Rhinolophus ferrumequinum: one gene and its partners. The protein of the gene in region 2 purifies or fractionates together with the protein of the main gene of each other region. This does not show direct contact. Links are inferred from orthologs where the notes say so. Each region holds a gene or a part of one and is shown on either strand. Other genes may lie near its edges. The genes, in order: ENKUR, MYH9, SPTAN1 and USP11.

Region 1 (7,889 bases), on a different chromosome or scaffold from region 2:
AGTCATAAATCAGGCAAATACCTTGACATAATAATATGTATCTTGGTGTTAGGAAAGCCTCTTATTAAATTCTTACTGATAAGGTAGAAAACATGAACTGATTAATGGATGCATTTGGACGACTGACTGAACCCCAAAAAACATTATTCCTGTCAGCCTAGAAAGAAGTGTCTACCAAAGTGCAAAGTACTTGCCTTGTTCAATGATGGATGGAGATATAAACGACATACTTATTAGATTTGCAAATGACACACAGCTGGGACGGATGGTTAAGAGGGTGTATGAAAAATTCAAAACTATCTCCATAGATTAATGATGACTTTAGATCAAAAAGAATCAGCTACACAATTATAAAATGGGAGGGACCAAACTTAGTCATAATTTATGTGGGGATTTCAATGTGGAACAATGGTGAGACATGACTGTCAAAATGCTACTAACCCATCAATAAAAGTATTGTGTATCAAGAAGATAATGGTTCTATGGGCTGTTCAGACCATATCTGGAACATTGCCTTAAACAAAAGGAAAAGAGAGAATGATTGGAGATATTAATAATTGGAGCCATCAATAGAAGAGTGACAAATTTGGTGAAGATCTTGGAAACCACCTCATGTATCATGAGCAACTGAAATTTTGAAAACTGATTCATGGCTTCCCATTGACTTGTATCTTAAGTCCCAGCTCATCTCCAAAAGGTTGCTTCCTCCTCCACTTTGGTTACATATATCTATCTCATTTATTAATAGTATCTGTATTTCTTATTAGGGTTTTCAATAATATATGGTTTTATTATTAATCAATGATTTAATATTTGTTTCATTTGCCCAAGGAGGCTGTAACCTCTGAGGTATGGGAGATCACAGTGCAGTCAATTGCTGATTTCTCCAAAGAATCCATCTCTTTATGAAAGCCGGACAATCAACTTGCCAGTCTTGCAAAGAGCTGCAGTGAGCTTTCTTGATGCTGGGTTTGTAATTCAGTGACGCAAATAAGCCTCATAGCTTAATACATTTCTTATAATTAATTCTTACTATTAGTAAGGGGATTGGGTAAAGGCAAGTTTGTGTTAGTGTGGTGAGAAAGAATTGCTTAAATGTTTTATCATGCTCTGTTTTTATAAGTTAGTAGTTTGCATGCATGACATGGAAACTCTTTAATCTTGTCAAATTAAAAACTCCTCATGCTTTTGCTGACGGAGTCGGCTGACTTTAACCTGACAGTGTTCTGTAGCACCACATGTGTATGCATTCTATTCCCTTCACCACAAATTCCTTTTTCCTACTCATTACTTCAGAGTAACCCAAGGAGTTTGTGTTGTCACTCCAATATTCCCCAAGAATATTCCCCAATGGCAATATTATACACATAATAGGAGCTCAGTTAATGCTTGTCAAATGAATAGAGATTGTTCCTATAAAATTTCTTGAAAAAAAAATCACCTAGATGCATAGTAAAGCTTTTTTACCAATGAACAGAACACCTAATAAAATATCATACCATTCAAATTCAGTACTCTACAGAAAATACAATCTGCTGGTGTGTTACAAAGAGGAAGAGCTTTATATTCTACAATAGACTGGAATTTTTTATCAAAGTCCATTCAGCAATAGTTAATTTGAACACTCCTCATAAAATCTGTAACTGTATCATATCTTACTTTGCATTCTCCTTTCCAATCTCTACTAGATTTTGAGAAGCTCATGTAAAACAATGTATGTATTGCTCTGGTTAAAACATGGATACTCAGCCTTAAATTGGAAGGATTTGCCCACTTGTTGAAGACGTTCTGCACCCCCCATAATTATTAGTAAAAATAATTGACCATTAGATCTGAAAGGGGCTTTAAAGATTATCTAGTTCATTTAGTTTGTTTCACAGATCAGAAAATAAAAATTTATTCATGATCCCAAAACCTATTAGTTGCAGTGCCTGTTTTTTGTTTTGTTTTGTTTTTTGCCCAGTTGTGATTTTGACTTGAATCAGGAAAAAGGAGTTTCTCCCCATAGATTTAAATAAGTTCTAAGTTCCTGCAAAGCAGAGTAACAGGAATGTTTACTTTGTGGTGACTTTTTTGAAATTTGGGGAATTTAAGAGGTCCTAACACCTATGTAAAATTTTTAACTCAAGGACATATTTTTGGTTCTCTATCGATCCACTCTTCCTTCCATCCAAGTATTAGACCTGAAAAAGACCTTAGAAACTATCTAGTCTATTTTGTTTCACTGATCAAAAAACTGAGGCTCAGAAACAAATTTATATTTGACAATAATCTTGGGGAAAAAAATAAGTACTATCCTTTCAGAAAAGGAGTAGTGTAATCTGAGGCAAAACAATGAACTCTTGAAACCAAATATCAAGTATCCTAACACAGGACAATAAAATTGTGATGTTCTCTTTTCAACAAGAAATTTCACGCTATGTTGTATACCAACCACAGTACGTACGAACAATTAGATAAATTACAAAACAGTTACATACCGGACTACAGGAGACTAACAAAAAAATGGCCCTCTCACAGCACTGGATCGCCCTTTGAATTGTGAGGTGCTAAATACCTAGATTTTGCAACCTCTCCTTTAAGAAGTTTCCATTCAAGGCAACTTGATCAAGACAAAAATATTTTTTATTTCTTTTTAAAAGTCATGTGATCCTTAGTTAATCCTGAAATGGAACAGTTATTCCCCATTCTTGTTTCAAGCAATAATTTGGCTTACCCACATACCTAGGAGGCTGGGGAGGCTCCTTCCAGTCAATGGGTATGAGGTTATAAATGCTCTCAGAAGAGCATGTTGAATCCATGGCCACCAAACGACTCCTCAAAATATTCAACTTTTTCTCACAATACCAATATCTCCGTCTCTTTTTTCACTGTTTCCCCTTTCCTTTCCTACTCTCTTGCGTTCTCAAGGAACTAAGGTTTCTCTTTCACATAATTCCCCTTTGACCTCTTCTTAGCGGTCCTCTCTTGGGAAGAAGATACTTTTCTATTCCTCTTGGGGTTGCTTAGCGTTGTTGACGGCGCAGTTGCCGTGGAAACAGTTACTAGGCGACGGTGAAGTGGTTAGCAACACTACAAACTAGGTTTCCTCTCTTCGCTGCAGCTCCATCTTCTGCCAGAAAAGTTCAATATGGAGACCACTGTTTATGCGTCTTTGGGAATAATGGGGTGAAAAATGGGGTCCCTTAAAAATGTTGCTCTTTTCTGTCTGTATATTTGAAGAGAAAGAAAAACTATTACTGGCACAGGCGAAGCGCAGCGTGCGTGCACGCGTCACACAATAAGGCTCTAGTGCGCAGGCCCCAACTCTGGCGGGGGCGGGGCCAGCGACTGTTGCCACGCTAACGCACGAAAAACGTCGAGAGCGGGACGAACGAGGGGAGGAGTCCGAGGAGCCGAGAAGACCCAGGTAGGTGGAGCGCCAGACAAGAGTTCTGTGCCCATTGCGGGGCTGCTGTGGCCGTGGGTGTGGCGCGCGGGCGCGTAGGGCCGCATCGGCCCACACTAGCGCAGGCGCAGAGGCCACAGCGCGTGGGTGGGGCGGGCCTAGCGAGGGTTGCGACCTGAGCTGTGGGCGAGCTGGGGCGAGAGCCAGACGTGCGGGGTTCGATCCCAACGCGACATTGGCTGCTCCTGGACACCCTCCCATTTCTTTTCCTTTCCCCCGTCTTCTCAGTGTGATTTTCTAGGTGAGTTATTTTAGGAGAAAGAAAGGGAGACTATAGAAACCAGGGCGTTCCCATCTCATGCCTTTCCCCTCTTCGTGCTGTCCCCTTTCCGCTACTCGGTTGTCATCTTAACTCTGTCTGCGCTCATTTCCCGGTCGCTCCGTCCCAGCCTGCTCGGAACTCGCTGTGCGCCCACCTTCCGCTGTTCTTCCCGTCCACCTGTCGCTCCCGGGTTCTCCTCTGGGCCTCCGGCTTTCTCTTGCGCTTCGCCGGTCCTCTGCTCTCCTTTGTGTACCCCTCTGGATCGGTCCCCTCCTCTTAGGTCTTCATCCATGGATATGTGGACTTTGTTTCTTAAACGAGCAGCTTTAAACCAGAAGAAGCTTTTTATATGGGCCCTTTAATTTTTACCCTTTCTCACTCTTTCTCTTTTTTTTTTTCTGGTGTCCGTTTTTGAAAATTGTCTTTCTGAGAAGCTGTTTTATTCCGTTCTCAGCCCATTTGGTATTTCATAAACTTGTTTATACACGTTATGACTGCTGAGAGAAGCGCATTTAAAAGCCTTTGCCATCCCGAGTCTCTAAAGACATTTTGGCAATACGATCTGGGAAGGAAGATAGCTGGTTCTGAACCAACCTTACAGTAGCCTCTCTGCCCAAAGGGAATGAAGAAGCTTGAAGATGGGAGAGAACGCCAGTTTTGGTCACCTGGCAGCCGGGGTGCTCGGTGGAGAGATTAAAACAGCATGGTTGCTTGGTTAACTTTTTAGTTCCTACTTAAAAGGCTATGCGGAATGTGTAGGTCCTTATCATTCCTTTTCCAGTTGATGAGATTTTAAATTTTATACCAGGCGTTTAACAAATATTTTATTTCAGATCAGTGACACCTTGGGAATGTTTCTCTTTTTCACCAGATTTTCTAGTCAAAATATGTATATACAGATTTGCCCTTTTTTGTCTCCCGTTTGAGTATTTCTGGTTTCGGTTTTTTGGTTTTTTTGTTTTTTAGTATTTTTTGTTGTTTTTTTTTCCAGAGAGAGAACAGAATTTTTCTCTGTACATGCCAAGATTTGAACTAAGGACTCAGAATGATATCATTAGCCAAGTGTATAGTCATTAGCCAAAATTTCTACATTTTGTAATTAAAAGGAATCCTTTGGGACTATTTGTGTTAATCAGTTCCTAAAAGATCCAGTTAGGCAAAGAAAAAAGGCATGATTCTCCACTTAGTAAGCACCAACTGGCTAGTCTTGACTTTCTGGTGTTTATGAATACAGTATTTTCACTGATGTCAGTATATTACTGTGGTTTTAAAAATAGTAAACAGAATTTAAGACCTCACTATGGTACATTTAGATTACAGTTATGAAGAAGTTGTTAAGTCATTTGGAAGGGAACGCTTTTTTTCTTAGATACTTGGTCTGTAATTCTGTTTGTCTGTTGAAAGCATGTTTACAAACAATAAGTTTCTAATTTTTATAATTCATTCAAGAGGGAAATACTATTCAGGGAAATGCCTGTGTCTGGTATGTCCATAGGGAATTAATATTGGTATACCATTAAAGGTTGTGAATTTTTTCTGTAAAGGGCTAGATAATAAATATTTTAGGCCTTTGCACGCCACATGGTTTCTGTTGCAACTACTCAGCTCTACCATTGTAGCTCAAAAGCAGCCAAAGACAATACTAAACAAGTGAACAAATGAATGAGTAAAGTTGTGTTCCTGCGAAACTTAATTTACAAAAGGGTAGTTGACCAGATTTGTCCTGTGGCTTGGTAGTTTGCACAGACCCCTGCTGTAAATGGTTGCACATACAAAGTAGGATTTTTGCTAAAGATTATTTTTATCTACTGAGATGAATAAAATGAGAGTAGGTGGGAAATACAAATAAGACAATTGGGAGGAAAATAAACCCTTTATAAAGCCAGATATACTTTACAATATTTTTCCAAGTCATAGTACTGAAAAGTGTACTTAAAAAGTCTTGAATTAAATACTCAAGACTACTAAGAGGATATCTAACAGCAAATGTAAACAACAGGAAATGCTTAGTCAACTTGATACAAGCAAAGATGAGTGGTGAACTTTTAAATTATGCTTTTCATTGTAAGATCCCTGTGATTACAACATGCCATTGGGGTGTGTGGTCCTTCCACCCTCTCCACATCACTGTTTCCAAGGAAGTAGGAGCAAACTGACTGAAGGATTTTTGTTCAGTAGTCAGAAGCAGCAGAATTTTACCTCCCCCTGCCTATTTTGTCCTAGTATATTTGTATTTTTTCTTATTACTGTATTTTGCCATGTAAAATGTGCACTTTGTTGCCCAAATTGTGAGGGAAAAATAATGATGCGCATTATACATAGGTAGTACTAATTCCGTATCTGTATAACTGTTTTAAATTCTTTTATTTATGCGTATGAGTTAGAAGTGTCACTGTAGAAATCAATAATGGTAGCTGTATGCAGAATAATACCCTGGAAAACGATAATTGGTTATATTGAACTTATGATGAACTTGCAATGATGAAGAGTTCTTGGCCTTCTGGGTTGTGTAAATATCATAAATTTGTTACTGGTACAAACATTTCTTGTATGTTGTATCTGTTCTTGTGTTTTGTAATTATTTGTTACACAAAATTTCTTATACCATAATGTATCAACAAATAAATGTAAAATTCCTTTATAATACAGAAAACAAGTACCTAAATATAAACAAAAATTTGAATTAAAAAATTAAAACGAAAGACTTTTTTCCTTGAAAGTTTGGGCCAAGAACGTGGTTGCACATTATACATGGCAAAATATGGTACTTATTGGAAAACAATTTTTTTTTAAATTTACTGGGGTGACAATTGTTAGTAAAGTTACATAGGTTTTAGGGAAAACAATTTTTAAGAATTTTTTAAAACCTCAGAATATCTTCATTAGATAATGGACTAGATTTAGTCATTAGTCTGAGAAATTTATATAGAGATTTCATTAATATAGATGACAAGCATAATCCCGGCATAGTATTTTCATAAGGTCATTGAACTATATAGCCAATTATGAAATAATTTTTGAAGTGCTGTCTTATGTTTTATTTCAGAAGAGTATGCAATAAATATTTTAAATGGATGACAAATTGCTGCAATGTTTTGACTTAAGTAATATTTTGACAATTTCTCAGAGGAATTGGAAACTAAGTAATTTTTATAATGGATTGAAAAATTCTTCTGGATCATTTTGAAAGTAAAAATTGGTAACAGGTTGAATATAAGTTTGGTTGTTATCAATCATCTAGTGGTAAACTTAGGAAAACATAGGTTCCTGCAAATTAATGTATATTTCTGGTTTAAAAATGTAACTTTATTAGCGTTCATAGGAAATGATTTAAAAAGTGATTTCTGTACTTTATTTCCCTTGAATTCTTAATTCGGTTTTGATCAGCTTATCACAATAAAATTGTTAAGTTTTATGCCTTGGGGTCACACAGTATTTGAATTAATATGTACATGTAGACATTCTGATTTTGTTTTTTTTGAAGTTCTTGCTGTGATACTGACACATCACTACCTTTTTATCTATTTGAATGACATGTCTTTTATGTCTAAAAAGTATCCATTGGAATTAGTGGTTCAAAAAGCCCCACGATAAGTGATCAGTAGGAAAACCTATTTGAAAATTATCAATGTATAATGGATTTGTGTAGATCTTCCATTCTCTTAGGAGTTAGTATAACTAAAATATTTTTGTGTAGAACTTGACTCTACAAAAAATATTTGAGAACATTAATGATACAGTGAAACCTGAATACTTTATCGCCAAGAGATGTTGTGTTTAAGTTCTGTTTTTGTTTTTTGACTCTTGTGATTGACTTCCATTTAATTTGAACTAGTTTTGTCCTTTGGCTGAAGAAAAATTGCCTATCTATGACCATTATACTGAAAAACATACTAAAATACAAAATGAAAAATGTCTAGTAACATGGCTTTGAATCATAAAGGGAAATGATATGCAGTCAATCCTCACTTTTCACAGATTTCATATTTGTGAATTCTAGTTGCTAAAATTTACTGTTAATCCCAAATTAATATTTACAGCACTTTTGCAGTCATTCATGGATGTGTGCACAGTAGTGAAAAATTTGAGTTGTCTGATGTGCATGTTCCAAGCTGAGGTCAAACAGGGTGATACTCTGCCTTCTTGTTTCAGGTCTCATACTGTAAACAAATGTCCTTT
Region 2 (7,024 bases):
GGCTCATCAAGGGTTAAGGCCGGGAGGCAGAGACTCTGGGGCTGCACAAAGAGAAATTGCACTTCCTGCCCCTGCGGGCAGAGATGCTGTTTTATGCTCAGCAAATTAGGATGTTTGTTTAATTAAGACGACACACAGATTTTGTTATTCTAAATATTTCTGGAACACGATGCTTGGGAGGAAGCTGTTAAAGCAAGGGTTTTTTTTCCCCCTTTGCTTTGGGTTTCTGTCTCCCCCTCCAAGAGAAGGGTAGGGCCCGCCTCCGAGGGAAACAACAGCCAACCCCTCCTCTCCTTTTGAAATAAAGATGTCAAGCTGGTAAGGGCTGTCTTAAGCACTTTACTGAAGGATTAGCTACAAGAGGAAGTGAAGAAAGCTCAGCTCGCCTGGTTTCTAGCAATACCCTACCAGGCTACACAACAATGCTGCATTTTTTGAATGTGCTTTTCTCCTTTTAAAAAGCTAACAGATCCTTGTTTTGTTTTTTCTGGAGCAAGAACAGGCGGAAAGGCAGGCTGTGATTAACATGCGACCTTCATCCTGCAAGAGGGAAGTTGTCCCATCTCCAGCCCCTTAGGTTAAAAAGTTTAAAAATAAAGAACAGAAAGCCGGGGCCCTGACCCTCTCTTTCCTCTCCCCTCATGCGCCCTTCTGACAAGCAGCCCCACAGAATACACCCCTCAGGCTGCCCCTCCCCAAGCAGAGCCTGCCAATGGGGCACCTGGATCTGCCCATAAGCACCGCCAGGACTTGCTGACAGTGAAGAGTAGAGCTCTTTGGTGTCACCCCGCAGACATCTGGGGGGCACAGCGGCTCTCAAATTACATCGAGCAATCTCTTGATGCTTTTAATTGCCCCTCAATTATCCACTAAATGAGTCCTCACTTTCCAACACCCAGTGCTTGCCCTCAGTTTGCCAAACTTGCAATGTGCAACTTCCTCGAAGCAGCTTCCCTCCTGGCCCCAGACAGAAGTGGCCCCTCTCCGGAATTCCTCGAGTCCTTTGTCTGTGGCATGCTTGGGACCCTCATCACAGGCTGCCTTTGTACTTCAGTCATTGGGCCACTATTTCCCCTTGAGGAATGTAAACTCTCGAGCCTCAGGATGGGCTGGCTCTTTTCTCCCAATCCCAACGACTCACAGTACCTTTCTGGGGTCTCTCTCATCTTCACCTCACAGGACAGTCATCTACAGATTTGTCTCCGCTCTCTCCTAAGCGTCCAAGGGCAGGGGCCAGGTCTTACTCAACCTCACACCCCCACCACCTGGCAGAGTCCCCAGCACCGAGAAGCCAGTTAAATATTTGCTCAGTTACACATCTGTGTACCCACCTCTCACCCCTAGCAGCCTGGTATATAAATTGACTAATATTAATCAAGCGATTGTCTAAACAGGCCTGAAAGCAGCCTCCCTCCTTCCCAAAAAGGAAGTCAGCCACCAGGTGAGTTACCAGGCGGGCCTCAGACAGTGGGGTGAGAAACGGCCACAGCATTGCAGGAAGCCCGTAGGGCTCTCTTCTCCCTCCAGTCACCCAAGTTCCTCTGAAACCCTGTAAAACCCAGGCCAGGGCGCAGTGGACCGCGAGCGGCCAGGCCTCTCGAGCGCCCCGAGGAGGACGCGCCGTCCCCAGGACGTGGGACTTCCCAGGAACCTTTCTCCTCACACGGGCTAGGTGGGGCCGCAGACAGCAGCCCTGGCACTCACCCTGCCGCCACCTCAAGACAGCCGGCAACCTTCTCCTCGTCCGTTTCCATGCGAAACGGTGGGGCTCGCTGGGGGGGGAGGGGCTGCGGTCCTGCCCTGGGGGTGGCCCCAGGACAGCACGGCGCGAGCACCCCCGCACAGGGAAGTGCGGGTGGGGGTGTAGAACACCCTGGATCGGGCCCACACAGCAACCATGCAACAGCCCAGGCCTCGTCCTCGAGGAGCAGCACCCAGCTCCCTCCACTCCCACCCGGGCCGGACGCCCCCAGGTGCGGCGCAATCAGGTGCGCGCCTGGACCCAGCCGATCGCTGCGGGCCCTCCTCTCGGGGCAGAAGTCAGAAGTCAAAGGTGGAAGGGTTGTGGGAGAGCGGGGGAGTCTGTCCTGCCTGGCGGCCCGGTCCCGCGGGGTCGCCCTTCCCCGCGCACCCCTCCGCACCTCTCTCGGTCCCCTCGCGCCCGCTCGCTCGCAGCCCAGCGAATGAGGAAGTCGGGAGCGGAGGGCGGAAACTGAGCCGAGTGCAATGTCTGCAGCAGATTGTCCGATTCTGACTCAGGAGGACGCCCTGACAGCTGCCAAACGGTCCCCGCCTGCCCGTTACCTCCGTTTCGAAAAGGCCTGGAAACTTCCAAAGCAGCCGGAGCCCCGTGCCCCCCACCTTGCCCCCACCCGTTTGGGTCGAAGGGACAGCGGCTCCCCGGAAGGGGTTAAAAAGTTTGCCCAACTTGGGAACTGGGCGAGGCGAGGGCGGGGCGCGTGCCCGGGCAGCAGGGGGAGGTCGAGGCTCCTGGGTGCCCCGCCGGAGGCGTGAGGCGGGCGGGGGTGGGGGAGACCGAGGGTTTCCGGGGAACGCTGGCCCCGAAGCCTTCCTCTGCTCCCCAAGGCCTCGCTTCCAGAGGCGCTTTCCCCGAGAGTCACGCAGGGGTCCCGGCGCCCCTCAGGGAAGGATGCGGTATCCCGGCCCAGCCCCGCCGCGTTAGCGCCGGACCGCGCCAGTAGCCGGCCGCGCGGAGGCCGAGAACCACACGTCGGTCGTTTCGCCCCACACGCCGCGAGTCCAGTAGCCGCCGCCCCCGCCGCCGCCCCCGCCCGCCTGCCCCGGGTTGGGACCGGCCGGTGGGGCTTGCTCACCTGAACCTGGATCTGCCCCGGGGAACAGGCGCTGCTTCTCCCGAGAGGGCTTTCTCGAGCGCTCTAGCGACGGCGGGGTGGGGCGAGCGCGCGAGGCGGGAGCTGCAGCAGGTCAACCTGGCTCAGCCTTCCGTGCCCTGCCCAGGAACCGCGGTGATCTGCGCGCCTCACCGCACCCAGCTCGGCTACTCGCCGCCTTCCCGCCCCGCCCTCTCAGCCGCTCGCCCATTCTCCGCGGCTCCGGGGCGGAGCCTGAAGGACGCCCCCGCCCCCTAGCTGTCTCACCCACTCCAGCTTGTTCCCACTCTTGATGGACAGATATGTTAGCCTGTAAAAAGGGATGGGCGGAGCCTATGGGCCCAAATAAGTGGGGATTCATCATCCCCCCACCACCACACTCTCCACCTTCCTCCGCGCTTCCTAGGCGGGAGCCCCGCCTCCTAGGGCGGGTCCAACGGACAGCCAGGTTCCAGGAGGACGATTGACACAGAGAAAGTCCAATGAGGAGGAGGAGGCTCGCAGGGATTTTTTTTTTTTTTTTTTTTTTTTTTGGTGCATTGCCTGGGCGGGGTCGAGGCCCGGCGGGAGTGGACTGGAAAGGTCCGGGATTCTGACACCCCGCCCCCGCGAGCTGTTTTCCCTGTCCAATGTCATCCTACCAGAACAGAAATTAAGTACCATATATGGGAAAAGTGCTATTTTACATAATTATTATGGCCTGTGGGGCGAACAAGGACTCTGCCCGGGATCCGTTGTGGAAGCCCTGAGTTCGATTCTATAGTGTGGGCACGCTGCCGTCTTTCAGCCTCCAAACCTTTGCTCAGACGGGTTCCCTCTGTCTGGAAGGCACCTCCAAGCCTCTCTTTACCTTCATGTGATTAACTCGCACACTTCCTTTTAGGTATTTGTTACAAAATGTTTTCTTGGTTTTTTTTTGTTTTTCAGGTAGGCAAAGAGTACTTTTTTTGTTGTTACTGCCCATTACAAAATTAATTTTTTTTTAATTTTTAAGAGAATTTTTATATTTATCTTTTAATTCACCTGGAATTTATTTTTATTTTGGAGTGAGGAGGAAATCGAATACAATATTTGCAACAGCCAGTTGTCCACACACCATTTTCTCCACTGATTTCAGGTACCACCTTCATCACCTATCCAACTCATACAGCATACGCTTCAATCTGTTTCTGAGTTGTATCCGTTGATCTTTCTGTGTGTTCCTGAGCCAGTTCCACAATACTTTGATGACAGTAGCTTTCTAATACATTTTATATCTAAGAGGGCAAATCTCTCATTACTCTTTCCTTTTGGACTCTCCTTCCTATGACGACTAAACTCTTCCAAATAAACTTCAGAAAAAGTTTATGACCTAAAGGCAAAAGAAAACTGGAAAAACATTTTGCTACGAAGAATTACTACCAACAATATATAAAAAGTTATTCTCAGTCCATAAGAAAAAGCCCAAATACTTCAAAATAAAAATGGCAAAAAAAAAAAAAGAAAGAAAAGAAAAAAGAAGGGAACAGGCAATTCAAAAAGAAGAAATCTAAACTGCCAATAACTATAAAAAAAGAAAAACAGTCATCAGAAATGCAAACAAAACGACATAGGATGCCATTTTTCACCTATCAACTTAAAAGAAAAGAATAAAAATGCCCACTGTTGGCCAGGTTTAGAGATATAGATGGGAAAGTAAATTAATCAATTTTCTTTTAGAATCCATCAATAAAAAATTGGAAAAGTGCACAGATATGGGTTTAAAAGTTCTTTTCAACATTGTTGATAGTCATTAAATTTTATAAGTGTACAATAGATTGATTAAATAAATTTTGATACATCCATATGTTGAAAAATACCCAGAAATTCATTAAAATTTTAATGCAGATTTGTATTTACTGATTTAAACTATACTAAGCAAAAGCAAATTTTAGAATGCTATTGTAGCAGGATTTAATTTATTTTTGTGTACTCTGTGTGTGTCTGAGAGAGAGCGCGTGAGAAGTTGAAAAGGCTTTATAACAGTGTAAATAGGGCAGAAGAATTGTGACTGATTTTTTCTTTTGCTTATCTGTATTTCTATCATATATGTCTTACACAATTTTTCCAAAAATGGAAGAAAAACACTCACTTCAATGTCACCTCTTCCAAAATGTCTTCCCCGACCCTCCAGGGATCCAGAACTAACAGGAGGCTTGGCATAGAATGGTCCTTAGTGAACGCTTCAGCAGGACTCAGAGAGTACCTGTTTCCTTATCTTCAAAATGGGCGTAATCACCAGGCCTTGCCCAGCCCTCAGGACTGTTGGGAAGAGCCCAGAGACTTGGACCTGAAAGCAGTGTGCACTACGACAGAGCATTATCTTCTTGTTCTTGTTGTTGTTGTTAGTACTCAACAGAGTGTTATGGAGAACAATCATTTCCATTTTCTTCAGGAGCCCCAGCCTCCTAGCACCACCCTCTTCCAGGGAAATGAGGTCACTAAGAAGATGGAAGTCCTCTGTTGCCCGGGCCCTGAATTCTCTCCTTGCCATCCACTAGCCTAGATGCATCCATAACTAAGAAAGCCCTCCTACTTGCTGTCCAGCCTCACCATTCCCCCATCTCCCAAGAACCTGCACCCTTGATAGTGTCTATTCTTGTAATAGTTTAAAAAATATTTCATCTATTTTGTCTGAGTGTTAAAATAGTATTATGGTTGGTATAGAAAATACTAAAAAGAAAGAAAATAAAAATCTCCCAAACCTTACCACCACAATATAAAAATTATTAACAGTTTGTTATTTCCTTCAAATCTTTATATAACCATATTTAAAATAAAATTATACAGTCACCTGATTTATTATAAAGGTGCCCCTGCAAATAAGTATGGAAAAGATGGGTTTTTTTTGTTTGTTTGTTTTTAAAGATTTTATTGGGGAAGGGGAACAGGACTTTATTGGGGAATAGTGTGTACTTCCAGGCCTGTTTTCCAAGTCAAGTTGTTGTCCTTTCAATCTTAGTTGTGGAGGGTGCCGTTCAGCTTCAAGTTGTTGTCCTTTCAGTCTTAGTTGTGGAGGGCGCAGCTCAGCTCCAGGTCCAGTTGCCGTTGCTAGTTGCAGGGGGCACAGCCCACCATCCTTTGTGGGAGTTGAACTGGCAACCTTGTGGTTGAGAGGATGCACTCCAACCAACTGAGCCATCAGGGAGCTCAGCGGCAGCTCAGCTCAAGGTGCCTTGTTTAATCTTAGTTGCAGGGGGCGGAGCCCACCATCCCTTGAGGGAGTCGATGAATTGAACTGGCAACCTTGTGGTTGAGAGCCTACTGGCCCATGTGGGAATCGAACCGGCAGCCTTCGGAGTTAGGAGCATGGAGCTCCACCCGCCTGAGCCACCGGGCCGGCCCAAGATGGTCTTTTTAATGAATGATGCTAGGTAAACTGCACAACCACATGTGGAAACATGAATCTTGACCTCTACCCTCATACCACTGACGGAAATAGTTTACGATGGATCAGAGATATAAATGTGAAAAGTAAACAATAAAACTTCTAGAAGAAAGCATAGGAGAATATTTTCATGACCTTGAAGTAGACAAAAAATTCTTAAACAAGACCCCAAAAGTGTAAACCATAAGAGACGATTGTTAAGTTGAACTTAATGAAAATTAAGAACTCTGCTCATCAGAAGGCACATTTTAAGCAAGTGAAAAATCAAACCGCAGCCTGGGAGAAAATGCTTATAATACATAGATATAACAAAGGACACATATCTAGAATTTATCAAGATCACCTACGTTAACAAAAAGACAATCCAATTGTTTTAATGCACAAAGATTTGAATGAGCACTGTATAAAATAGAATATCTAATTAGCCAGTAAGCAAAAGAAAAAAGTGCTAAACATCATTAGTTATTAGAGAATGCAAATTAAAACCACAAAGAGATAGCACTATCCCCAACCAGAATGACTAAAATTAAGATATTATGTGTTGGCAAGAATGGGGAGCTACTGGAACTTTCATAAATTGCTTTCTACAACCACTTTGGGAAAGTGTTAATCCGTGTGGCTACTAAAGTTGAATATACGTGTAATTCCCTATGATCCAGCAATTCTACTCTTTTTTTTTTTAAACTTTTATTTATTTGTGTTTTTCCAGGACCCATCAGCTCCAAGTCAAGTAGTTGTTTCAATCTAGTTGTGGAGGGCGCAGCTC
Region 3 (7,150 bases), on a different chromosome or scaffold from region 2:
TGGGCCTGGGCCCGGGCCCAAGTTCTGGTGCAGTGCCCAGTGCCTTTATATTTATTTAAAGAGTAGGGCTGCTTGGTAACCAGGAGGCTGACGCCTTCCTGAGCTGCAGAGTTCCTGGTCTGCCTGACTGCACAGGAATGATCTGGGTGTTACTACCAATGGCTGTGGCCCAGCTGTCACCCGAGTGGGGGTGGGGAAAGGGCGTCCTAAGCCAGGGCTCTGGATACTGAGTTTAGAGCCAGGCCCTCAAACTGCTAGGACTGTTGAGAACAGAAATTCCAGAAATCTTATTTTTCTTTTCTCAGCACCCCAGCACCCACCATCACAACGCTTCCCTTTCCTCTAGGAAGGCAGTATAGCATACTGTTTAAGAGAAGGTTCTGACTGCTTGATTCAAATCCTAGCTTTTCTTCTTGCTAGCTGCCTGACCATAGGCAAGACACCTAGCTTCCATGTTAGAATGCTCATCTGTAAAATGGGGAAATAATACGTCATAAAATTATTGCAAAGATTAAAAAAAAAGGTCACACATGAAATGCTTAGCATAGTGCCTGGTACGTGAGGAACATTCAATTAATTGAGACAGGAAGAACCATATCTTGTTTAGAAAATAAAAGTGGTGCATCCTATTTCACTGGCGATTTGTGAGAAAGCTTTTGTTGAGAATATAAGAAATTACCCTCAAAATCCCAGAACGACAGACTTAAATTCCAAATCAGTCGACTTTATTTTTTATGATCGGTTTTGGCCTTTTCCTACCACCTCCTCAAACCCGGAGCCCCCAAATCATCCTCGGTTTCTGACCCCAGCCGCCACCGGCGTAGACTGACTTAGGTCCCTGGCCCCAGCCTTCTCCCAGGGAAAGTGGTCAGAAGGAAGAGAAGCACACGGTGATCTCATTCTTTGAGACTGGGCGTTTTTCCGGCCGGGACGCGCAGCATCCCAGCCGGGCTGCAGCGATGGATCCTGCCCCGCCCTTCGCTGCAGTCCTGGAAGGGCTCCCACGGGCGGAGGGGTGGAGGGGCAGGGTGCAGAAGAGTCAGTGCAGGGCGGGGAGGGGCAGGATTGGAGAATCCGAGCTGCGGGGAGGGCGGGGCGGCTGCAGCAACTCGGCCCGCCCGGGCGGAGGCAGAGACTCCACTGCACCACCGACCCCCATCTCTGGCGCGCGCCCTACTTCCCCATCCCGCGCGGCGCCCCTGCAATCGACCCTTCCCCAGCACCGCCGCTTCGTCTCCGGTCGGGAACGCTCGGCCTTTTTCGCCGTGCGCTCGGGAGGCGAGACGGAGGGAGCTCCGCCCCCTTTGCTCCACCGGCGTTCGCCCCCGCCCCTAGCGCCGCGGGGGGGCACTTCCCCCGCGCTCGCACCCGCCGGCCGCCGGAACGCGCGTGGCCGCCTATAAAAGAGGTGGGGCGCGCGCGTCGCCGCCACTACCCGCTGCGGAGCGAACTGCGAGGAGCGGAGGCCGCGAAGGCGCGTCGGTCCCTCAGCACCCACCCCAGCCCCACATATCACTGCCCTCACCCCCAGGAGCCGGTGAGAGGGAGAGAGGGGGAGCGCGGGCGGAAGCGGGGCCCGAGAGCAGCCGACCCCTGGGCGGGTAGCCGGATCGCCCCCGGGGAGGGGCGGGGCCAGCCGCGGACAGGTGAGCCGGGCGGGCCTCGCCGTTCCCTCCGTCGGGCGGGGAGCCGGGCGAGCCGGTCGCGACCGGCTTATGGCGCGTGGGCTGTGGAGGAGCCGCCGGGCCGGGGCTGGGCGCCGGTGGCTGGAATGTCATTGACTGGGCGGAGGGGGTGGCGAGGCCGCTGGCTCCCCCCCGCCCCCCCGCCCCAGCCTCGCGGCGGCCGCGCCCTGTCCCATCCGATTGCGGCAGGTGGGGCGGGGGCTCCCTTGTCGGGATCGTCACCACCCTCCTCCAAGCTGAGCGCTCCCCCCACCGCCCCCAATCCCTTCCCTTGGTGGGGAGCAACTTTTGCCCCTCCTTTTCCTAAATCCCTACGAGCAATGCCGGCTTAACCCGTGAAGGAGGAAGCGCCGAGAGCTTGGGTAAAGGGCTCTTTGACGTTCATTTCGTCTTGGTTGGCCTTTTCTTGGCCTTCTCTCTAGACAAGGAAAGATCCGAGGCTGGCTGGCCATCTCCTTTGCTTTCCTATAATAAACATTTCTTTCCTACTTAGTCGTGATTTGCTTGTAAATAACAGGTAGCTGCGGCGTTTGTTTTTTGTGAGACCCAAATCAAATAATTTAGTACCTCTTTTTTTCCCCCGAGAACGGATCTTTCCAGTCGAGGACAGTATATTATTTGTCAAAAATTCCACAGCCATGCCGGTGTTGAATGATAGAGCAGCCTTTTGTTTGAAAGCCGTTCGCGAATTTGATTAGATGCTTTCCAGAGAAATTGCTTTTAAAAGTCTCTTTGATGTACTGAGATACAATATATTTTAAATAAAGGGCTTGTTAAGGTTAAGGGTTGAATATGTTTTAAATTAAACGCCTGAATAGACCAGAAAGCTGGGTTGAGATGATGCTTGAACTGCTGCAACACCTTATTACATCTATTTTATATAATAGATTCTGAAATCTGTAGGCCCTTTGTTCTGTCTTCATCATGGTATTTTAGAAAAACTTAATATCATGGCTGTTAGGGAGGAATAGAAGAGAGACCATATGAAATATTTTCATAATGTGTTGAGAAATTGCGTCGTCATAGCAATTGGACTTGACTAAAACAGAATGTATCAAAGATGGCAGGGTGGGGGTGTCTTGCAGCCAAGAAACAAAATTCTTAAGACTAGCAGTGGGAACACTCAGCTGTATGAAACCATTGAGCCAAGGTTCCAACTCCACAAAACTAGTCGTTTCTCTTCCCTTTTGTTACAATTAATGTCTCAGATTTTGAAAGGTTAAATTGAAGTCACAATTTGAAAAATGTGCTGTGTGTGGGGGGAATTGAGCTGCAGTAAGGGCCTCTGTGCAGGAAATTAACAATAAGCCTTTTTTAGTAACTGGGCCAGTAATTACTCAAAGGGACCCTCAAAGTGTGCTAGCTGTTACCCAGGGACCTAGAGGAGAGACACAGACTCCAAAGGAGGATTTGCTCTGTACTGACAGGTGTGAAGCAGTTCTTAGCCTTAACCCTCAGCTCAGTAACATTCTCTGATACGCTGTTGGTCTGTGGCTGTGTGTTGTTTAGTAATCTAATAACTGGGGAAATGTCATCTGTCGACAGGCTCTAATATGAGCACTCCAGGCAATCTGATGAACAGGTTTAGATGGGGAGAGCTGTCTTTTAAGCATATGTTTTGGTTCCCTGGGTTAGAATTTTCTCTCCTTTTCCTTACCTGCCTTCATCTCAAAGGGAGGGGCCCACTGCGGACCCTGAGAAGTGGCTGTTAGGAATAGTGCTGTCATCCCTGAATCTGCACTAAGGACAGTAGGCACGGGACCTGCCTCCTCACTAGTCCTCCCTTGGTGGGCTATGCGAGGACTCCACTAGTTGTGCAGCTGGGTCTGCCGAGGTCTGTCAGCTGTGGTGGGTGTAGGTGGAAGAATGCAGCGCCCTCATGGCAAATGCTGACTCCAGGAATGCAGGAGGAACGCAGCTGCGCTGGTACCTCCCTCCCACCTTTTTTGCATATTCCTCTTGTACTGGTTTTATACAGGAAATGGTATTTTGTAGAGGAAGTGTACCAGTAACCTAGGCCCAAGTCAGATCTTTTGCACCTTGAGTTCTTTCTTGTTTCTGATGATTTCATCACATCATGCTGTTTTATTACTGAAGGGAAGGAGACTTAGGAGTCACCTAGTCCTGGAAATCTCAGTTAATTCATCGAGATGGTTAGTGTTAAAAAGTATATTCAGTATCATTACTTTATTTGAAAAGTGGGGAAACAGACTCAAAGGGAGGGGGGTGACTTGGCGTGGGAGCACATCTAGATCGGAACTGTTAAGACTAGATAACCTCGGTTCTCTTTCCACTTTGTAACGCCCTTGGAAGATTCAGAAGGCACCGGGGACATATGTGAAATTGGATTTTTAGCTGTGTTCATATATTTTTAAGGATCTGCTTTTTTCATTTTGAAGTTCTTTTGTGCCGTGCCCTTAGAAGCTTGTTATCTTGCTCTCCCCCTCCCTCTTTAGACTCCACATTCCTCCATCATGTTGTCATCGTTTCGTAAACGCAGAATCCAGGTATTTATTTGACCAGCATGCAGGAAATGCGATCTTTTCAGTTTTGCCTGGTTTGCGGTGAAGACACCTTTGTGTCCAAGAGGTTGAATGATTCAAAGAGAGGGGGCAAAAAACCTTGCCTGCATGACTTTCCTATTAAGGTTACTGTTAGGGTTTATTTTTTTGTGGTTTTTTTTTTTGTTTGGTTGTTTTTTTTTTTTGGTGTTACATGAACAGAAATCTTAGTCAATTCTAAAATTTCCAAAGCCTCCTGTTTTTTACCTTCCTCTCTTTAAGGCATGGATATATTCATTTCTTACTACGCTACCGGTATTTGCATGTAGTGTTTGCTGATTTTTTTTTTTTTTTGATAGTTACTTGGTTCTTAAGAACCAAGGGAGTAAACAGATTATCTTAGATATTTGGAAAAAATAATTTGAAAACATGCAGTAAAAATAGTACTTTTAAGTTTGACAAATATTGTAAACTTGGGTTTGTTTCCTGTTCCCTTTGACTTAGTTTTTCTGCCACAATCCCTGTGATGAAATGGAGCTTACATTTTTTTTTTTTAAAAAAAGCTCACTATATATCTGTTTTATTTGTGTACAATTTTTGTGTGTTTGCTAAATTGGACCTTCAAAAAGAAAAATGCTTAAAATTAATGTCTTGATATTTCATAAGGAGAAATACAAACTTTGTGAATTCTTAGTGATTATGGGTGATAAATCCAAGGCAGGCCCTTTTATAACTCAGACTGGTTAATTATTTAAAGGAGGTTTATAAAAATGGGCCACTTCATGACTTTCTCGTTTTGACTCTCAGTAACAGTGTTTTGCACTCAAAATACCTCTCATCTGAATTTTACAGGTTGACCGGTAAGTAGCAGCCAGACAGTATTTGGGGGGCTGTGGACGTATGTACGAGCAGCGCCGCTCTGCGTTTCTGAGTTTTGATGCAATGCAGTACAAGACCTCTCTCCAAAGCTAAGTCCCTGCTCACCTCTGCAGAATCCGGCTAACACGTTCAAATGAATTCATCAGTTTGAAGGCTGACATGCAAATCCACAATCCCGATTGGAATGTGGTTTCAGCAAAAAAAAAAAAAAAAGTGTTCATTGTTAAACTGTTACTTGATGTAATATTTACTTCTGCTTACCAGCAGAACTGCCAGGAGAATCTGCAGCTAAGCTGGTTTTGCGTTAATTCATTTGATCTGAGAATCCATTGATATAAAGTTTTTATAGGTGCTGACCAAGTTCTTTGGTGTTTGTTCTGGGGGAGCTTTTCCACATCCATGGATGTACACTTCTCTTGCTTTGGACATGTGAGAGATGGTGATAGGTTGGCTTTCTAAGCCATGGAAGAAAGGCATTTGCCAGTTCTGCACCTTTGGGCTCTGACTAAGCAACAAAAACAAAACTAATGAATAGTTTCTGTGACCTTTTGCTTTGGGTGATGTTTATGAATTTTTCCATAGAGCCAAATGATCTCTGCATCCTGTTACTCTGTAAAATCCCTTTCCTTGCAAAACAATATATCTGGTGTCCTGCCTGCAATCGGAATTCCTTTTGTAGTAGTCCAAATGTCTTCCATATGGCACGTTCAGCCTGTTGAAGTGACAGTGGCCCCAATGCTTTGTTGTAAATAGTCACTCCTTTCATAGTCACTATAATTTTATTCTCTTCCGAGGTCCCGTAGAGAAATTGCTGGATTCTTCCACTCTCCCAGATCAGTGTGAGGGTGTCCTAAGCCACTCACGGCAGGCACTAAGTTTGCAGAGTCCAAAGCATTTGACCTTTGGCTTGAAAATGTTTGTTTCTGCAGTCCTCTCTGTTGCTTAACACAGAGTTCTTCTCACCCACCCGCTGCCTCTTCCTGCCCTCCAAAGGTAGACACAGCCCCTAGCACAGTGGCACATACAGCTTCTGTAGATTAGGTTAAGGTGTTTAAAAATTGCCAAGTACCAAGGGCTGCCTCAAACAGCTATCTCGTGGCATTTGTCGAGAAGACAAAGATACAATTAATGGCTAGCCTCTTTAGTGAGACTCCATTTTCAGTCGGTATTGTGTATGAATGTGTTTTGGATATGACGAGTCATTCGCAGGCATGTTATATCTTTGGATTAAGGTAGAACTTTCTAGCTAAGATTCCTATGTTTGTTTAGACCCCCACGCTTTCTTCCCAGAGATCTAGCAGTATTGTAAGACCTGACAAGTTCCTTTTATTTATTACTGTAGAGGACATGGTGGTGATTCCTGTTTTATCCCCCGAGATCCAGTTCACATGACTTGCTGAATGAGGCAGCCAGCGTTTTGACTGCTGCATTGCAGCGTTTATAACTAGCCTGCATCTTCAGCCTTCTCTGACAGTCTTTGCAAAAATGGGACCTTTTCCTTTGGTTACCTTAAATGGGAAGCTGTCCTTAAACATACAAAGAATACATTCAGCACTTCATTTCCACTCCTTTCTCTGTGTACATAGACTTGACTGGCAAAATCAGAGCTGATCGGCTGCTTTCAGATAAGCAGTCAGTTGATTGCAGTCCCAGGAAGTCAGCTCCTGTGGGTTTCAGGCCGTTAGTGGACTAGACAGATAGGCTGGTTGGAGATTGTTTTTTGGTGGCACTTTTCCCAAAGTACTCCTTTCTAGCTCTTCAAACGTGCTAATCTCATTAAGGCTGGGTACAGCCTGGAACATTCTCTGTGGAGTCTGCCTTATCAGTCAGCTACATATTTCAGGCAGTCATGGAAGAAGGTGGTGCATACAGGCAGGGTCCAAGGGATCCTGCTCACTGTCTCACAGTTTTGGGTGAGAGTTTGGAACACCTTTGGGTGGCAGTTGGTTTTAGTGATATGAGACTTTTTCCTGTGTTTAATGTAGTCTATGGAAATGGCCCTTTTGGGAGCAAAAAGAAACTGGAACTTGTGTAGATAAACTAGAGACAGCTCCATATCAGGTTAAGGGTGGGGGGAGCTCTTTA
Region 4 (7,243 bases), on a different chromosome or scaffold from region 2:
AAAATATTAGCTTCTCCTAGAAATTAAATCAATTGCCCTTACCCAGATCTACCAGCTGACAAAAGACAGAAGGTGCAAATATTAATATTGATACGAGGTATATGATTTTGGGGTTAGTTCATGACTTCAAAATGCTTTAAACACAAATTTCCTGACCACTGTAGCAAACCCCTAGAAAATAGGCGGCAAATTAAAGAACCTTGAGATGCTTTGCTCTTACCTAAATAGATAAGCATATAAAAAAATGGAGTTAAGGAAAAACGCTTCTTGATATTATCCACAGTAGCAGAGATAAACTGGCTTCAATACTGAACCAACATTGGTGGGTTAACTTTTTTACTGATATAACACACAAAAAATTAAATTAACAGAAAACGAACCATTTTAAAAACGAACAATTCAGTGGCATTTAGTACATTCACAATGTTGTGCCACCACAACCTCTATTTAGTTCCAAAACATTTTCAATCCCCCCGAAAAGGAAACCCTGAACACCTCTAAACGGGCCATAAAGACGTTCCAGTTATTGTTGTTTATTCTCAGGATGGACTGAGGCTTTTCCTTGGAGAGCCATAGCTTAACGGTGTAAAAAAGTGTTTGGTTCCGTATTGCGGATTTAGGGAATCTCAACCGTGTCTCTCCAGTAACAGGAATATATATATTTTACCAGTTCCGTGATTAAAGATCTCTGTAAGATGGGCAGACCTCCCTGTAAAGGCCATGAGGTGGGAGCCCGCTCGTGGCCTTAGAGGAACAGCAAGAGTCCAATATGGCCGGTTGGAGAAGGTGAGGGGGAGGGTAATCAGATCTGAGGAGAAATCAGAGCTGGGGACCAGCCTCACAATCATAAAGCCTTGCAAGCCACTAACAATTTTACCATTTACACTGCAAGAGGTGGGAAGCTGCTAAAATGTTTTGAGGTACAGATGGACATAGATTATGTTTTTGAAAGAATTACTGTGCATGGAAAGAGAAAAATAGTACCTTTACCGTGGAGAAACCGAGCAGATATCACCTTCACTACGTGATCAAGGCTAACGTCACAAACGACGTCATGTGGATACCATGTACCACCTGATACAATGTACACGGTATACATCCAATATGGTTTCATATATATTCTCCAGGAAAATTAAAGCTTAGACCACAAACACTATTTTTGGATGCATACAGTGGTGGAAAAACATTTACCAAAATTAAAAATTCAGGATAACAGTTTCCTGAATTTTCATCTGGGAGGGGCACAGAAGGCTTTCTTAAGGTAACCGTCTGAATCTTAACCCGAGTGGTGAATTCACAAATTTTTGTTTTATTGTTCTTTGTTTTTTTTTTTTTACTTTGAAACAGACTCCGAATAACTGCAAAAGTAATACAAAGACTTCACGGATGCCCGCCATCCAGAAGACCAAATTTAACATTTTACCCATTTGCTCGACCATTGTTTCTTTAAATACAGTTTTATATACCCTATTTTTTCAACCATTTGAGAGTAAGCTGATGATTCTTTACCCCTAAATATTCCGGCATGTTCTTCCTTCAAACAAAGATATTCTCTTTCACAACCACAACACAATTACCAAAAGCCAGAAATTAGCGGTCCTAATATCGAATCTACAGACCTAGTCAAATTTCACCAGTTTTCCCATTAACATCTTTTACAGTAAAGAAGAGAAAATTAATTTTATGAGGAAAAAAAGCCTCATTTTTCAATTATTTATTTTTTCTGCTCCGGGATCCAATCCAGGATCGCACGTTTCATTTAGTTACCATTAACTTGTTAAATCCCATTAATTCCTTCAATCTGGAACAGTTCATCTTTTGTCTTTCACGACCTTGAAATTTTTGAATAGCCGTTTATTCAAAACGGCCGTTTACTTTTATAGAATGTCCATCGATTTGGGCTACGTTAAACGTTTTATACAATTTGCTTAAGGCTTACGTATTTCATAATTTAAAAAAGGAGATACAATTCGGCAAAAAAGAAACTGAACTCAGAAACAGTAGATTTCACGCACTGGTTAGCCATGAAATCAGTAAAAAACAACCCTATTTATCGAGATACTCATTAACATTTTAAAAATAGCGCTTTTTTTTCCCTGAAGACAAAAAAATAACAGTACTAAAACAGAAACCAAATATAACATCGAAGGTCCCTCCCGCGCCAATCACCTGCACTTTCTTCCGACCTGGGAAGGCCTCGTCCGAAAGCAAAAACCTCGCCGCGTCACAAACTTCGCTCACTCGCCGGCGCCATTTTCTGCTTCACTAGCAACACCTCCCCTCTGCCGCAGTCTTTCCTTAGCCTCAGGACACGCCCCTCGGCGCACGTCACGTACTTCGTTACCAGGCGCGAGCCCCGCTCTCCCGCCCACAGCTCGGATTTCGCTCTTCTCCCTGACGTCACCGCCTTGCCTCGTTCTCAGGCTCCGTGGAGCAACCGCCCCCGCCCCCAGATTTACGTGACTCCACGCAAACCACGCCCCCAACCGCCGCCGGACCGCCTCCTTCCCAGGTTCCAAGTTCCTCTACGGAGGACCAGGCCCACCCCCAAGGCCGTTTCTTATCAGGCCCCGCCCCCTACCTCTCCATAACAAACCCCATCTGGTTCTCAGGCTTTAGGCTCCACCCCCGGGCCACGCCTCTTTCCCAGACCAAGCGATCACTCACAGGCACTTCCCCGCCCCTCTGCCCCGCTCGTTCTCCGTCCCACAGGCCACAGGCCACACCCCCGCCCCCACCGAACTGCGGACCTGGGCGCCAAGTTCTCCACCATCACCAACACCCCCACTATCCCTTTAGCCAAGGCTCCGCTTGCAGCCCAGTCTTACCAGCTTTCGCCGGCCCGTAGTGGACGCTCTCGCCCACTCTCGACGTTCTCAATCTGGCGCCGCTGGCTCTCTAGGCCCGGCACCGCTTCGCGCTGTGGCTCTGGGTCCTCGGCCGTAGCCGAAGGATTCGCTGCGACCGCCGCCATCGCCGTTCGTCCTCCTCTTACAGCCCTCGCAGGGGCATAGAGGAGTCCCCCTCAATTGGCACTTCCGGATTCTGGCCCGGAAACGGAAGCGGAGCCCCCCAACTAGCCGGGGGCTCCTACAATCTTGGAAATGGGCACCACGGTGGGACACGTCCAAGCGCTAGGCCGGCATTGGACCGTGGGTGGTGATGTTTCAGACTAATAGGCGGGGTAAAACCTCCAGTTGGGAGCTAAGAGAGACAAAGGTGCCTTGTGGGATCCTAACGCCATGTTGAGTCCCTGCAAATGGTTGTGTGGAGGGTGGAGGCAGAGGTCCCCGAGGTAGACGAGGACATACTGGGGAGTGCTCGAGGACACACAAAGGTACCAGGTCTTTTCGGTTCTCTGCTGGGGACCGCGGGTCCCTACCCTGGGAGCGGCGTTTTTGTTAGCCGGACCAGGATGCCCTTCTTTCAATGCACTACACTTCTCGTCTATCAAAATCCAATGCGAAAGAGGTCACCACCTCCACAGCGCCACCCAGGCCTGCGGACTGCTTCCCTGTCTGAACTAGGTTTGTTCTCTCCATAACCGTGTTGAATGGAAGTCAGCCCCAGGCCCTGTGTATTTATCGGAGTTACAGCAATGATAACTAGTAACAGCCTTAAGTGCTTTATTGCAGTAAATGGTAGCCTTAGGCAGCAGATATCAGTCGCCCATGGGCAACAGTGGAGCAAGCTGAGGACCAGAAATGTTACTTCACTTTGCTCCAGCCAGTAAGTGGCTGAGCTGTGGTTTGAATAAAGGAATTCCAGTTCGAGCTGTGACCTTAAACACCAGGCTGGAGATACTTAAACTGTGTTCCTAGGCTTCAATCCGTTCAGGAGGCCCTTTAGGGGGTTCACAAAGTCAAAAATAGTTTCATAATACTTTTTTTATTGTCATTCTCTCTTGCACGTGTGGTGGAAGTTTTCAGAGGCTTTGTGACAAAAGCAAAAGCTTTCTGGCTGTCCTCAACTTTAAAGAATATAAAAGGCTTGAGACCAAAAGTTTCAGAACCGTTACACTAGGCCAGGGTTTCTCAATCTCCGCACTGTTGGCATTTCTGTTTTGGGAAGTAGTGCAGGATGTTGCACTGCATCCCTGGCCTCTTCCCACTATACATACCGTTAGCGCCTCCCAGTTGGGACAACCAAAAGTGTCTCCAGACATTGCCAAAAGTCCCCTGGGGGCAGGGCAGGATTATCTCCGATTCAGAATCATTGCACTAGGTTATGCCATTCTTTTCTCTGCTAGGGCTCCCCACCCTCCCTATTGGTGATAACAGTAGTATCTCCCTCTGGTTCCCTGCATCTACATACTTGTATTTTGGTTATCCCCATCTGACCATCCCACAAACTCCCCAGGACAGGCTCACGATCCTGGGTCTGTTTCAGTGACTTCTTTCACTTCACCACCCCGTCCCACAGGCAAGAACACACCTCGCCTCTCCACACCTCTAGGCCCATGCATGCACACAGGTCCCTGGGCCTGGAGTGTCCAGAATACCTTCTCTGTGCACAATTTCAACCCGCCCCACATACACGATCTCATAATTTACCTCTGTGGGGCAGGGGTTGTCTTTATTACTGATTCCAGACCCCAGCCCAGACCTGGCACGGATGAGGGTAACAACTCAGCTGCATAATCTCTGAGGAAGAAAAGGGAGCAGCCCTTTCACCTGGGGGTCCCCATAGCGGCATTCAGGTTGGGTTTGGCACATAGCACATTGCTCATTGCTTTTCAAGCCCAGCTGCTCTCCCATTGCCCCTCTGCAGACTCCTCCTCCCCATTTACCTGGGTGGCCAGTCCTTCCTACAGTCCAAAAGGTTTCCCTCCCCAGGGCTGGACTCATTCTCTGCACCTTCCAGAAGCCCACCTCTGCCCACACCGGTGACCCTACCACTTCCCAGAGCAGTTGTGTGAATTCTAGCCTTTCTAAGGCTGGCCTGGCAATCTTGTCCCCCTTTGCAAGGTCTTCATTTTTCCAGCCTCCCTTGCTCCAGGAAGGGGGACAACTTCCTTATCTTGTTCTAGCCAAGAGATGGCACAGGAAGTTGCAGCCCTATTTGTTACAAGGAAACAGACAGGGAGGGAGGGTGCCCTGTTTTGCCTGCTTGCTTTCCCACCTCTGGGGCCATGACAGCCATCACGGAACCGTGAGGCTGCAAGCTGAGATATAACCAAAGTGCATACAGGAACACAGTGTAATGATTAGAGGCCCTTGGGCCCCTGCCGCTGGATTTCCGTAACCAGCATAGTTAGACTTGCTATTACCTGCACTGTTTACCTGGCCTTGCCCACCCCATCTCTTCTGCTTGGAAGTCGATTCTTGGCTTTGCCCAAAACGGTGGGACAGGGGCTAGAACTCTCAGGACAAAGAGAATGAAAGCCTCGGCTACCCTCACACTTTAGGCAAAGTCCCAGGTTGTGCCATTCGACCTGTGGCCTCTCACAAATGACTGCATCCTTCCCAGGGTTATCTCACCCACGTCTCACCGTGGTTTTCATTACTTCCTAGACACTAATGATCCAAACTTCAAGTTCCATTGATGGACTCACTCCTGATTTTAATCCATGTATTATAGGATTCCCCTACCCCCTCAGTGGTCCAAAATCCATCCTCTTCTCATATTCCTTCTCCAACTGGCCTGCCTTATGGTGTCCCAGTGAGACACGTGGTGGTCATACTGGGCCTTGCTGCCTCATCTCCCCACCTCCTGGTTTTGTGGGCCTTTCATGTATTTTCCAAACAGCCTCCCTACACCTTCCCGTCTCTACCCTCTAGCTGGCTTCCTCATATTCTTGGGTAAATCCAACTCCTCTGTCTGCTTGATTCTTAGCCCATCCTCTATCCAGCCTGCCTTACCTGCTTCAGTGTTCCACCGGTGTGTGTGCAAACCCTGATGCTTTTTTCATAGCTGTGACGTGTCCCTGGCCCACTCCCCGTGTTCTCCTACACTACGGGGACCAGGTATGAATTCACCGTGGTCCCAGCACTCACCCTGGGTCAAGCCCACCCTCACCCCTGTAGGGATTTTCAATCACGTTTTTCACTTTAGACTTTTTAATATTTCATACAGCGATTATGGTGCATTCAGGAACCCAACCCCCCAAACCCCACTAGGAGGGCACCCACCCCTGCCCTCCCACCCCATTTGAGGGACCCAGGGTTTAGAGTGGAGGAAGGGGAGGTAACCACCCATCTGGGACTGACCCCAGAGACTGTCCCTGCCCTGCCTCACCCTCCCCAGGGGTTAGGGGCTAACGCCTGGGCACAACCCCCCCTTTTGCCCCCCTGTCCCTGCCTGTGCACATATACACTATGGCTCCTCACTGAGTTGGTCAGTTCCCGGCAGGGCCCCTACTCAACAGCACCGAGTGGGATGGGAGCAGGAGGGCTGGGCTAGGGAGACCCTGAGAAGGAAAGAGACCCCAGCTGTGGGACTGCAAGAGGGAAAGAGTGGGGGCCCCCACCTTGTCCATCTCCCAGAGTCTCCAGTAGGGCCCAGGTACCCCTGTGGCTGGGGATGGCCGGCGGGGGTCGGAAGGCGAGTAGTTGAGGCATGCTTTCCCTTAGCCGACCCCAGGGTCTGGTGATGGTCAGGGTTTTGAATAGGGGCTGTGTCCCTGCCTTGGAAAGGCTGGGAGTGGGGCTTCATTGCACAAAATACTGTGGAAGGGCCACACGCAGGGGGTGGGGCCCAGCCAGTCTGTATACAGAGATATTGCATTTAAAAAATGAAAACCTCATTTAAAATAATTAAAAAACAATGAATGAAACAAACAAACAAACAAACAAACGGCCCACAAAACATGAGGCAGGTGGGGCAGGCAGGAAAGCAGGCAGGGACAGTCTCAGACCCAAGGCATCGCCACACCTTGTCTGAGTCGAGAACCCCTGCCTGGGCTAGCTCTGGCCCCCTGGCTAGCCAAGGGGTAGTGAGTGGTCCTGGGGGAGGGCATGATGAGGAGGGGTACAGGCCTGGCCTCAATGTGGGAGGCTGGCACGGCCATGCTGTCCGCCGGCAACTACTGAGACAGAGAGAAAGAGACAAACAGACCAGGCGAAGGAGCATTGAGAGCTTTGTTAGCACCCAGCAGACAGGCCAATGGGTGGGTTGACAGGCCAATGATCGGGTGTTTGGACAGGCAGCAGGGGACATGTGGGCAGGTGAGCATGAGTCAGGCAGGTGGCAAGCAGGGAGGATGCAGTTGGGGGCTGCCCTGTGAGGGGTATGGCATCCCTCC

Evidence for each region.
Region 1: the proteins of MYH9 (region 2) and ENKUR purify together in Homo sapiens (affinity purification with western blotting; 4 studies listed by BioGRID, with this or other methods). This does not show direct contact. The link is inferred for Rhinolophus ferrumequinum from reciprocal best matches to the Homo sapiens genes MYH9 and ENKUR.
Region 3: the proteins of MYH9 (region 2) and SPTAN1 fractionate together in Homo sapiens (co-fractionation; 3 studies listed by BioGRID and IntAct, with this or other methods). This does not show direct contact. The link is inferred for Rhinolophus ferrumequinum from reciprocal best matches to the Homo sapiens genes MYH9 and SPTAN1.
Region 4: the proteins of MYH9 (region 2) and USP11 purify together in Homo sapiens (affinity purification with mass spectrometry; 3 studies listed by BioGRID, with this or other methods). This does not show direct contact. The link is inferred for Rhinolophus ferrumequinum from reciprocal best matches to the Homo sapiens genes MYH9 and USP11.

What each region holds. Positions count from the first base shown.
Region 1 is NW_022680355.1:9,631,711-9,639,599, forward strand, and holds the start of ENKUR (enkurin), read right to left. Parts: upstream 3,015-7,889; 5' UTR 2,802-3,014; coding exon 2,725-2,801; intron 1-2,724. UniProt on the Homo sapiens protein: Adapter that functions to localize a calcium-sensitive signal transduction machinery in sperm to a calcium-permeable ion channel.
Region 2 is NC_046293.1:10,281,540-10,288,563, reverse strand, and holds the start of MYH9 (myosin-9), read right to left. Parts: upstream 3,019-7,024; 5' UTR 2,835-3,018; intron 2,250-2,834; exon of another isoform or gene 2,142-2,249; intron 1-2,141. UniProt on the Homo sapiens protein: Cellular myosin that appears to play a role in cytokinesis, cell shape, and specialized functions such as secretion and capping. Required for cortical actin clearance prior to oocyte exocytosis. Promotes cell motility in conjunction with S100A4.
Region 3 is NC_046295.1:77,360,361-77,367,510, forward strand, and holds the start of SPTAN1 (spectrin alpha chain, non-erythrocytic 1), read left to right. Parts: upstream 1-4,144; 5' UTR 4,145-4,159; coding exon 4,160-4,192; intron 4,193-7,150. UniProt on the Homo sapiens protein: Fodrin, which seems to be involved in secretion, interacts with calmodulin in a calcium-dependent manner and is thus candidate for the calcium-dependent movement of the cytoskeleton at the membrane.
Region 4 is NC_046284.1:86,668,965-86,676,207, forward strand, and holds the start of USP11 (ubiquitin carboxyl-terminal hydrolase 11), read right to left. Parts: upstream 3,023-7,243; 5' UTR 2,975-3,022; coding exon 2,829-2,974; intron 2,320-2,828; exon of another isoform or gene 2,170-2,319; intron 1-2,169. Other genes in the region: CDK16 (cyclin-dependent kinase 16), read right to left, coding at 6,984-7,027.